Linked DNA regions of Oryctolagus cuniculus. The protein of the gene in region 2 interacts with the protein of the main gene of each other region in a pairwise test. Links are inferred from orthologs where the notes say so. Each region holds a gene or a part of one and is shown on either strand. Other genes may lie near its edges.

The links. The genes of interacting proteins can lie anywhere in the genome.
Region 1: the proteins of CEP72 (region 2) and PIN4 interact in binary tests that used the Homo sapiens proteins (3 or more experiments, as listed by UniProt). The two-hybrid records come from large-scale screens. The link is inferred for Oryctolagus cuniculus from reciprocal best matches to the Homo sapiens genes CEP72 and PIN4.
Region 3: the proteins of CEP72 (region 2) and MCM10 interact in a two-hybrid assay, tested with the Homo sapiens proteins (2 studies listed by BioGRID and IntAct). The two-hybrid records come from large-scale screens. The link is inferred for Oryctolagus cuniculus from reciprocal best matches to the Homo sapiens genes CEP72 and MCM10.

Annotation. Positions count from the first base shown.
Region 1 is NC_091453.1:52,235,459-52,239,546, reverse strand, and holds the start of PIN4 (peptidyl-prolyl cis-trans isomerase NIMA-interacting 4), read right to left. Parts: upstream 2,801-4,088; 5' UTR 2,630-2,800; coding exon 2,587-2,629; intron 1-2,586.
Region 2 is NC_091445.1:97,319,727-97,323,238, reverse strand, and holds part of CEP72 (centrosomal protein of 72 kDa), read left to right. Parts: intron 1-3,007; coding exon 3,008-3,135; intron 3,136-3,512. UniProt on the Homo sapiens protein: Involved in the recruitment of key centrosomal proteins to the centrosome.
Region 3 is NC_091444.1:69,845,895-69,850,170, forward strand, and holds the start of MCM10 (protein MCM10 homolog), read right to left. Parts: upstream 2,801-4,276; 5' UTR 2,737-2,800; exon of another isoform or gene 2,730-2,736; intron 552-2,729; 5' UTR 506-551; coding exon 469-505; intron 1-468. UniProt on the Homo sapiens protein: Acts as a replication initiation factor that brings together the MCM2-7 helicase and the DNA polymerase alpha/primase complex in order to initiate DNA replication. Additionally, plays a role in preventing DNA damage during replication.

The sequences.
Region 1 (4,088 bases), on a different chromosome or scaffold from region 2:
AAGTTAAGCGTGCCAATGGGCAAATGAGAGCCCTCTGGACCCAATTTCTTTTTCTTTTTTTTTTTACAGGCAGAGTGGACAGTGAGAGAGAGACAGACAGAGAGAAAGGTCTTCCTTTTCTGTTGGTTCACCCCCCAGTGGCTGCTGTGCCAGACACACCGCGCTGATCCGATGGCAGGAGCCAGGTGCTTCTCCTGGTCTCCCATGGGGTGCAGGGCCCAAGCACTTGGGCCATCCTCCACTGCACTCCCTGGCCACAGCAGAGAGCTGGCCTGGAAGGGGGGCAACCGGGACAGAATCCGGTGTCCCGACCGGGACTAGAACCTGGTGTACTGGCGCCGCAGGTGGAGGATTAGCCAATTGAGCCACAGCGCCAGCCTGGACCCAATTTCAAATCTGGCCTTTTGAGGGCATACCTCTTTGCTCTTGTAAGATTACTCGTATATTCTAAAGCTATGTATTCAAGCACTCACAAAGTTTCTCACTACCAATATTGGCCTAAAGAACACACTCATGCCCAAATTCCTCAACTCTACTTCATTGGTTACTGATATTTTCCTAAGAAAAGTCACTGATATTCAGAATAATAATCACTGGCAATATTTGCTGGTGAATCAAATTACTACATTAACTTCATTGTCAACATCTGCATACATCCTACTACATGTTCCTAAGAACTATAGCTGGATTAAGTGTCCAGTTCAATAAGCATTTCCTAAAATATCATTAAAGTCCAAGTCTTCAATCTTGGTCAGGCTCTCAGCTCTGAGGGTAATCCTTTTATTTATTGCATTTCCTCTCCTGTTACCCTACTCCAGATGTTTACCACTCTTCTAAAGACTCTTATTGAGTCTCTGCTCTTCAGTCTTAAAAAAAAAAAAAAAAACCCTTTACTTCTATTAAGCAACTGAGGCCGGGGGCTTGAGCTGGGCACAGCAGGTTAAGCCACTGTCTGCAGTGCTGGCATCTCATATGGGTGCTGGTTCACTTCTTGGTGCTCCACTTCTGATCCAGCTCCCTGCTAATGCACCTGGGAAAGCAGAGGAAAATAGCCCAAGTCCTTGGGCTCCTACACTCACGTGGGAGACCCAGAAGCTCCTGGCTTCGGTCTGGCCCAGCTCTGGCTGTTGTTACCATTTGGGGATTGAACCAGCGGATGGAAGATAGAGCTCTCATATATATATAATATATATAATATATATAATATAATATATATAAACTCTGCCTTTCAAATAAAATAAATCTTATAAAAAGAAATTGAGGCCAGTAAACATGATCTCTTTAACTCCACTCTGTTCTCCTCTCTGCCCCAGTTTTTATAATCACACCCATCCTGTCTCTTTATGACATGAAACATGTCATGTCAACTGTTCCCCTCAGTCCTAGACCTCATTTTCTCCTAAGTCTCACTCCTCTGTTATTCTACTGGATCGTTCACCTCAGCCTTACTCCCAAGTTTCCCCATGCCAAAGAAACAAAAGAAAACTTTCTGTTGATTCTTTATCCTCTATCTATCATCCTATTTCCATACCTTTTCAGTGACAGCTTTCCAGGGATGTGTATACTGATTATCTCCAACTTCAGCACTTCCCTGTCAGCCCCTAGTCCCTGCCATCTGGCTTCCGCCTTTCTCACTCCATGAAAACCACTCTCGCCTAAGGCCACCTCTAATTCCCAAATCCAACAGTACTGTTCTTAGTCTTCATCTTATTCGGCCACTTTGCTGTGCTTCATTGATTTTCAAACAGTTTTTCAAAACTTTCTGGTCTCTCCAGACTCTGGAGTATTTTTTTTTCTCTCCCAGTGACTACCTTAATTCTGGTCATCACTGCCTCTCACCAGGATTACTCCAACAATCTCCCTTACAGGTCTTCCTGACTCTTAACCAAGCTTTATAGCATCATACCAGGGTACCTCGGGGTTTTGGCTGCTGGAGCCTCTATCAGGAATGCTTTGTCCTACCTCTCATGCTAACCTTGGCCTGCCTAACTCATGTCCAGTAGTCTTCCCTTTTCTGTTGCGGCTAGATGGAGCACTTTCTCAGTTCCTACAACATCCACACATCTCTCCACATCGACCTTAGTATAATGCTTTCTATCTTCCTCACTACTTCCGTAGGCTGTGCCTTGCTTTATTTCCCCAGAACTAAGCACTGTGCCTACCACACATATTTCTGCTCCCTGGATGAACAAGTCTTTTCCAAATGTTGGCATGTCATTCTGTAAGCATTAAGTGGAATCTTAAGAACCATTACCAATGTGAATTTCTTTTTACCGTCGGCCTTTGATAACATTTAAATGTCACGGCTCTAATAACCTTGAAATCGCAGCCCCAAGTCACGGTCTCCGAGGACCTACCCCTACTACCCTCTACCACCCAGCAACTGTATCCCAATATATTCCAACAACTCCAGCAGCCCCTCGCGCACTTAGGTTTTCTTAGCCTTAGCGGAGAAACCCCAGATAAACTCGACGCAGCTAAGTGAGGCCACCGGCCATCTGCTGCCTCCGTCTCGGACCCCGGAAATTGCCTGTTTCCTCCCTTCTCACCCCCTCCCATTCTCCCGGATTACTCTGGCCCTTCTACCTTTCCCCCCTTTTCCGGAACCACTTTTTCCTTTGGGTGGCATCTTGGAAACTTGATCGTACGCTCAAGTACCGGTAGCTGTACAAAGCCCCTTCAGGCCCCCACGGACATGCCGTAGACAGTGCCTGAAAGCGGCATCACAATTGACCGTTTAAATCAAGGCTCCGGAAGCAGGCACAGCTTGGGGCAGACCCAATCCTTTGCCACTCGGACCAATGGGGCTGAGAATGCCTGACCAATAAGAAGCTTGGGGCCTTGGTAAAGGGCCGGAGACAAGTTTGGTTGTGGCGAAAAACCCCGCCTCTGAGCTTTTTGTTTCTTCTTTCACACGAGGTTATCTGCACCAACACTCCTGCTGCCCCTCCCCGAGCCACTTCCTCCACGCATGCGCACTGGGAACCAGGTGGGGGGGCCTCTGCAGTCCCTCGGCACCGGTCTGGCCAATCCCGTGGGGCCACCAGACAAAGGGAGCACAGGAAGATCCATGGTAACGGCCCCCCCCCCTTTGCCTTCTCCTCCTACACACGGGCCTGCTTTCCCTGGCGGCTTTTAGGTTTTTAATCTTATTTGCAGCTTTAGCTGATTGAATTCAAAAGGTCGCTTTAAAAAAATCCTATTCCCCTCCTCTGGCTCTTGAAGAAGTCTGTAATGTAGAAACACTGAAAGCCATTTAAATGCACCTCAGCAGGGTACTGTTTAAGTAAGCACTGTTTCAATCACATGAAAGGATGTTAGGCGCTGTATAAAATAACGATGGGGAGATTTTGTGTACAGATAGGGAAATGGTCTTAAGGAAGATTACAGACCAAGATACAAAATATGACCTTTTTTTTTAAAAAAGTATATACAGTGTACTATGTAAGCATATAAAGAACAGGAAGGCTATACAGCAAAGAGACCAGTAGTTCTTTCTAGTACAAATAGGTGGTTGTGTATGTTTCTGTGTATTTTCCAAAGTCTCCCTAATGGTGCAGCATAGTGTAGTTAATAAGCATGAATCCTGGAATCAGATTGCCTGGTTTCAAATGCCTGCTCCACCATCTTGTCTGCTATCTTTGCTGCCTTGGGAAAATTACCTCACCCCTCTTGGGCTCGGTTTCATCATCTGTGAAATGGGGTTGATGATAACAGTAGATACTTACAGGGTGTTAAGAAAATTAAGATCATATTTGTAAAGCTCATAAAACAATGGTTAGCTAATACTATTAGCCTATGACAAATAATTTGTTTAAAGTATTTAAGAGGCCGAGAGAGAGAGAGAGAGAGAGAGAGCGCTCTTATTTGCTGGCTCTCTCCTCAATGCCTGCAATGGCTGGGACTGGACCAGGTGGAAGCCACGAGCCAGTAACTCAATCCGGGTCTCCCACATGGGTGGCAGGGACCCAAATACCTGAGCCATCACCTGCTGCCTTCCGGAGTGTTCATTAGCAGGAAGCTGTCATGGACAGTGGAGTCGAGACTCAAACGCAGCAGGCACTCCAATACCAGATGCAGCTGTCCCA
Region 2 (3,512 bases):
CAGTGAGTGTGATGGGTGTGGTGAGTGGTGGGCGTGGGGAGTGGATGGTTAGTGTGATGGGTGTGGTGAGGGAGATGGATCTGTTTCCATCAGTCTTTATGGCTACTCTTCAAGGTTGTTTTTTTTTTTTTTTTTTTTTTTTTTTTTTGGTCAATTCCATCATACTCTGGAGCTATTGTTAGTTTCTGCTTCAGTTGTACTTTTCATTCCTGAAATTTGTTTTATCTCTTTTGTACATCTGGCTTTTTGCCAGTACTGTGCACTTTTTCATTTAGTTCAAAATGTTGTAATTGCTCATTGAAGTATTTTTGTGAGAGTTGTTTTAAAACTGTTAGATAATTCTCTCTTCTCAGTTTTCTCTGGCTCTTGGTCCTTCTTGATTGTATTGATGACGTCTGCAGTATCGCTTTCCGACATTCTCCTTCCTGTGTAGGTTTCCATGGCTTGTGTTATGAATTCTGCTTCCTGTTTAGGTCTTGGACTCATCGCTGCTGTTATGAATTCTGCTTCCTCTTCATCGTATTTTATTTGTTTGAAGGGCAGGGGGAGATCCGTCTTCTGTGTATTCTCCAAATGGCTGCACCAGCTGGAGCTAGCCCAAGCCAGAGCCCAGAGCCCAGAGCCCAGAGCTCCAACCAGGTTTCCCACATGAGTGGCAGGGGCCCAAATACTTGGACCATCTTTTAAGACACTCTCTGGCCGGTGCCGCAGCTCACTAGGCTAATCCTCCGCCTGCAGCGCCAGCACCCCGGGTTCTAGTCCCAGTTGGGGTGTCATTTCTGTCCCTGTTGCTCCTCTTCCAGTGCAGCTCTCTGCTGTGGCCCAGGAAGGCAGTGGAGGATGCCCAAGTGCTTGGGCCCTGCACCCGCGTGGGAGACCAGGAGGAAGCACCTGGCTCCTGGCTTCGGATCGGTGCAGCGCGCCAGCCATAACAGCCATTTGGGGGGGTGAACCAACGGAAGGAAGACCTTTCTGTCTCTCTCTCTCACTGTCTAACTCTGCCTGTCCAAAAAAAAAAAAAAAAAAAAAAAAAAGACACTCTCTAATATGGGATGCCAGTCCTCTACTTCCTCTTTAGATCTCCGTGGTCATGGCTGGTGTTTTGACATTCTGCTCCCTCTAAATCTTGGCCTCATCACTGGTGTTACATAATAAATTCTTCCTGTGTGGGTCTCCTTGCTCATCCCTGGTGTTAGGTTGTTATTGTGGGCAGTGAATGTACTACTTTTCAATCCAGGTTTTTGTCTTCCACACAGGTAGAAATACTAAATACTAAGAGGAGACTAGAATTGTACACAAGTAGGAACAGAATTCATTTTACCATGAGGGGATAAACATGTTCATGGACAAGTCTGTGCTTCTCCACACAGAAAAGACCCATCATGGGTGGGCCAAAGGGTTGCACGTGAACGAGAGGACCAGGAGTGGTACTGCTAAGTGAAAACGAGAGTGGTTCATCTGATAGTCCATGGAGGAAAGAACACTGTCTTGCCTTCAACCTCTTTGTAAACAGAGGGGGGGTACTTAATTAGATGCGCAAACAGGGTGGGCTCTAAGCAACAGATGCATCCTGGGAAGGCGGGCCTATGGAGCTGACAGTTAAAGAGCATGATTTTGCAGGGGTACGAGAATTCCAGCTCAGCTAACTTTGTCTAGTTACACCACATTATCATAAGCTGCTCCTTTTTAGGTCCCCACGCTCGTGGCTGGATTGGTTGTGAATTCTCCTTCCTGCTTAGATACCTACTCATCACTGGTGGTGTTCTTCCTGTGCAGATCCGGTTACTCATTACTGGTGTTACATTTCTTCCTATCAAGTCTCTGGACTCATTCCTGGTGTTTTTTTGTTTTTAAAAGATTTATTTATTTTATTTGAAAGGCAAGAGTTACACAGAGGCAGAGAGAGAGAGAGGTCTTCCATCCTCTGGTTCACTCTGCAAATGGCCAGAGCTGGGCTAACCCGAAGCCAGGAGCTTCTTCCAGGTCTCCTACGTGGGTGCAGGGGCCCAAATGCTTGGGCCATCCTCCACTGCTTTCCCAGGCCATTAGCAGAGAGCTGGATCAGAAGTGGAGCAGCCAGGACTCAAACCGGCACCCATATGGGATGCCAGCACTGCAGGCAGTGGCTTACCCGCTATACCACAGCGCTGGCCCCATTGCTGTTGTTTTGAGTTCTTCCTATGTAGGTCTCTGTACCCATTGCTGGTTCTGTTAGGAGTTCTCCTTCCTGTTTAGGTCATGGTACTCACTGCTGGTGTTGTCTGTACTCATTGCTGGCACCTGCTGGGTGCTGCTGGCAGGAGGGTGAAGGGCGTCGCTTAGTTACAGCCGGGCCAGGCATCAGGGTCCCGGCCCACAGTCCTGGTGCCAGCCACTGCAGGTCAAGGAAGCTGGGAGTCAGGAGGATTCTGCTTAAACTGGCCTCACCGGATTCTTGGTGAGGGCAGGCCAGGCTGGTAAGATGTCACTTGGGGGTGGTGGACAGTGGGAATGGGGGCATCTGGGCTCTTCCTAAAACTGGATTTTAGAGGTGCACTGCGGGCCTGGGGGTTCAGAAACCTGACGAAAGTTATTTAAGCAGAGACTCTGCCAGTATCTGCTTTATTTTTAAGAATTTGAACCAAGGCCAGCGCTGTGGCATAGGGGGAGAAGCCGCCGTCTGCAGTGCCGGCATCCCATATGGATGCCAGTTTGAGTCCTGGCTGCTCCACTTCTGATCCAGCTCTCTGCTGTGGCCTGGGAAAGCAGTGGAAGATGGCCCAAATCCTTGGGCCTCTGCACCTGTGTGGGAGACCCAGATGAAGCTCCTGGCTTCGGATGGCTCAGCTCCAGCCGTTGGCAGCCAACTGGGGAGTGAACCAGCAGATGGAAGACCTCTCTCTCTCTGCCTCTCCTTCTCTCTCTGTATAACTCTGACTTTCAAATAAATAAATAAATCTTTAAAAAATTTGAACTTGTATTTGTTTTCAATATAAGAAATACTGAACTGTCTGTTTTCTCTTCTTAGCTGAGCTTCAGTCACTGTCTGTTCCTGGAACTTACCAGGAGAAGATTACTCACTTGGGAAATTCTCTGATGAACTTAACGGGTCTCAGAGCTCTGGACCTCTCACGCAACTCCTTGGTTAGTCTGGAGGTACGTTTGATGAAAGAGAAGATTTACTGCTGTCAGTATCAGCAGAGGCTGCACTTGTGGTAAAACCATCTGTTTCTTAGTGAAGTACTTGAAGTTCCCGTGAACGGCATGCTCAAAGGTTGGCCGGTGTTGTGTTCTGTGTCACGTCACGTCCTCACTTGACACGGGTGATCGGCACTCCGAGACTGATGGACGTGGCTGAGACCTCAGAGGAGTGACTAAGAGGCCAGGAGCTGCGGTGTGCATGCCCGTCACTCCCTACCTCGAGGTGTCCGGCCACCTTCTGCACCTCCCTGTGTCTGGCCCCGCTCTTTTTTTTTTTTTTTTTATGAATCTTATTTTATTTTTTGACAGGCGGAGTTAGACAGTGAGAGAGT
Region 3 (4,276 bases), on a different chromosome or scaffold from region 2:
ACACACCTCTGCAAAATGAAAAAAAAAATGAGATAGGACTATAAAATTTAAGTCTGAGCTATGCTATAGCCACTTCAAAAGACCACAATATTAAATATGAATTATGAAGTTAGGTAATCTCGTTCAAACACCTGTTCTGACAGTTGGACCTCTGATGAGTCACTACACATCACTGTTTTCCTGTCTAACATACATTTGTTGTGAGGGTTAAATCCACTAACATATGTAAGGATGAGAGCAGTAATTGGCACATTGTAAGAACATGTCAGTGAGAACTATTATCAGAGAGAAGTCTAATTAAGAGAAGTCTAATTAAATAACATTCAGTGACTGGGTGAAACCGCTTTTGAATCACTCAGACACACCTGAGGGTGAGGGAACATCTTGCCAGCAGAATAAATAAGTCCATGGACAAAAGGTTGGTTTCCCACAAAACAAAGAGCACTTGAGAAAAGAGCCAGGCCTTACCATCCATGCTGTCAAGAGCAGGGTCAACAGGGAACATCGAAAGGGGATGAGCTGCCCAGAGGATGAGTGACGTAGGATCCTGGCTGTGGGGAAATCAACATTGGAGAAGTTAACTCATGTCTTTCACAGTACATATCCAGAATCCCGCAAATTCTACGGGCTCCAACCGCAGAATTCACCAGAATCTGACCATTCCTCGTCTCCTCCTAGTACAGAAGCAGTCTTCTTTGACCTGCTTTCAATCTACGGTTACAGAAACTCAGCTGAGGTGCGGAGCAGTTTGTACAATACTAGATTACCCTGCAGAGATGGAATTGTGAACAATAATTACTGGGGTTAGGCTATTACCATCTTTACTGCCTGTAATATACACTTAATGTCCACTTTATCCTCAGCAGCTTAGCATGTGATTTCACTTAGTTCTTGCCTTTGTTACAATTTAATTCAATACTAGCCAGCAAAGCACGGAGTAGTAGTTAGCATAGCTAACTTGTATGATTCAGGGCACTGTCCTTTTTGACTTAAAAAGATTTTTTTTTTAAAGATTGATTTATTTATTTGAAAGGCAGTTACAGAGAGGCAGAGGCAGAGAAAGAGGTCTTTCATCCACTGGTTCACTCCCCAGATAGTCTCAATGGCCAGAGTGGTGCTGATCTATAGTCAGGACCAGGAGCTTCTTCTGGGTCTCCCACGCAGGTGCAGGGGCCCAGGGACTTGGGCCATTTTCTACTGCTTTTCCAGGCCATAGCAAAGGGCCAGATCAGAAGTGGAGCAGCTGGGACTCGAACCAGCACCCATATGGGCTGCTGGCACTGTAAGCGGCGGCTCTACCTGCTACACCACAGTGCCAACCCCTTAAAATGATTTTAAAACTGCAAACAGGAGCAGGCATTTAGCCTAGTGGTCAACAGCCCTTACCCACACCAGAGTGCCTGGGTTCAAATCCTAACTCTGGCTCCTAATTCCACTTCCTGCTAATATACACTCTGGGAGGCAGCAGGTGATACACCAAGTAGTTAGGTCCCTGTCTCCTACAGGGGAGATCAGGACTGTGTTCTTGGCTCCTGGCTACAATCTTGGCCCAATCCCAACTGTTGTAGGAATCCAGGGAGTGAACCAGCAGATAGGAGCCATTTGTTAGCCTCTACAAAAATAAAATAAAATAAAGCAAGTCAACAAGAGTACATTCCTAGGTTACAAGTGCTCTGTGATATGTGCGACTTAGGAAAGTCTGAGGCTTTTTTATTTGATTTAATAAATATTTCCACGGATCCCATCAAGCACTGCACGAGGCATCATCTATTACCGAATCTGCTGGATTGGAAGCTTCCTGAGGGTTAACAGCAACTGTCTTGCTCATATCTATAACCAGCACCCACCAGTCCCCCCAAACAAACCTGCACTCTTCTTCCCCTCCTACCCAGGGCCATCCAACCAAGACTATACGTCTCTAAGACGTACTCAAAAATCTTCCACTTCTGTCCGGCTTCACCGCCAAATGCCCAGTGTAAGTCACCACTAATCTCATGCCTGAATTTCTTTAATGATGTCCCACTGCCCTCAGAACAAAATCCCCCAAGCCTTTGGAGCAGGGGATGCCCTCTCTCGCGTATCTCTACTTCCACCTTTTCCATGCGTTCACCCACCTCCCAAATCATTCTCCAGCCAGGCTGGTCTGCTTTCCACCGCTGGAACACACAACGAGCGGCTCTCAGGCCTCGGGCTTTCTACTGGAAAGCTCTGCCCTAGCTCTCTCTTCTCATTTCCCTGAACCCTTCCGGGCCACCCGACCCGCGGGGGCTCCTGCCGATCCTCTCCTTGAGCCTCTCTGTTGTCACGTCATCCGCCATCGGGCTCTAGCCTGCTGTCTGCTCCCCCCTTTAGATCCAAAGTCTCAAGAGGGCAGAGGTAATGCACTGTGGCCCCAGCGCTCTCAACAGCGATTAGCGTCTCAGAATCAAAGCAATGGGCCGCCTAGAGACAGCCTAGACTGCATGCATTTTCAAAGGTTATTTTTACAAAGGAAAACACTGGTCCCTTAAGTGGATGCTTCCGCCATTCCTCAGCCCCCGCGCTTTTCCCATCGCTCCACCTGGGCGTTCAGATACCCGCCGCCGCCCGGTTTCAGATCTCGCCCGTCCGGGCCCTGCTGGGCTCGGCGCCTCTCGCGCGCAGAATTCTCCGAGCCCCGCTCACGGACACGCGAGGGCGGCCCGTGGCCCCCGGCACCGCCAGAGTCCCCGCGCGCCCCGAACTCGCACCTCTTACCCAGAGCCGGCGCCGGCGCCTCTTCCCGGTCTACAGGCGAACCCGCCAAAATTCCAACTTGACTCCGCCCCTGCCTCTGTCGTCAGCCGCACACGGCGGTCGTGCCGCACTGATTGGCTACGTCAGAGCTCCCGGAGGCCTCCTCCTTGGGTTGAAATTGAAACAAGGCCCGGGCATAGAGCAATCTGATTGGCTCACGTCACGGTCGCCCTCTTTGTTAAGGGCAAGGGAAGTTCCGGTCGGTCAGGCCGTAGCTTCTTTTAGGCAAAAGAAAAAAAAAAAAAAGAAAAGAAAAAAGAGACGTCTTGCACCCCCCAGCGTCGGGATGTCAAATCTTCTCTCATGGTAGTATTTTCTCCGCGGTCCTCAACTTTTTGTGAGGTGAAGGGTGACGACGGAGGCGGAGAAGCCGAGACATGTTCACTTAACCCCGGAGCCACAGTCCACCCGGTACCGCCGTCCCCACGGATCTGCTGAGGCGGGAGTGATGGTGCGGACGTTCCCACGAGCTACTGCTCATCACCCCGCTGCGCTTTGCCGGGCCTGTGTGCCGTGGAGGTGTTTCCGCTCAAGAACAGACAACACAATGATGTTTGCTTTTTGTTTTTATTTTTTAAATATTTATTTATTATTTAAAAGGAAGAGTTACAGAGAGGCGGGGGGGGGGGGTGTCTTCCATCCGCTGGTTCATTCTCGCTGGAGCCAGGAGCCAGGAGCTTCTGCTGGGTCTCCCACGCGGATTCAGGGCCCCAAGGAGCTGGGCCATCCTCTACTGCTATCCCAGGCCATAGCAGAGAGCTGGATCGGAAGTGGAGCAGCCGGGGCTCGAACCAGCACCCATATGGGATGCGGGCACTGCAGGCAGAGGCCTTTTTGAGGCCTTACTGGCTATGCCACAGCGCTGCTCCATGCTATCTACTTTTAACTCTGACCTTGAGAAAGTAACACGTGTGGGTGTCCACTTCACCTCTGTACAGAGAGGTGAAGGGACAGAGAGGAAAAGGGGAGAGGGGAGAGGCCAGATGGCTTTTTTTTTTTTTTTTTTTTTTTTTTTTTGACGCAGAAACTACTATTCGAGGGTAATTCGTGATCCATAGATTTTGGAAAATTATAACTGGCATCAGAGCTGGGAACAACTTATCAGGAGACTTATTTTTCACAGGATTTTTTTTGTAAAAATATTTTTCCTAAAGACATCTTTACATGCTAGAAATAGTTTGCCCATAGTACTAAGAACATGGTTTCTAAATTTAGAATTATATTTAGCTTCTACATGATTTCAAATGACCACTTAAAGGTTTCTTTTCCTCAAGACATTATTGAGGCACCACATTCCCTCACTATTAACAGCATTTTATTGAAGATGGTATGGCTAGCCACTGTGTGTATCTTCAAAATTAAAACCAGCTTTAGAATGACCGGAAAATACACGCTCCTGGTGACATCTACATTGACTTTTTTTTCCCCCTAATAGAACATTAATGCTCTATTTATGAGTATAATCCTATTATTTGACCTGTTATACTGACCCAGGAAAAGA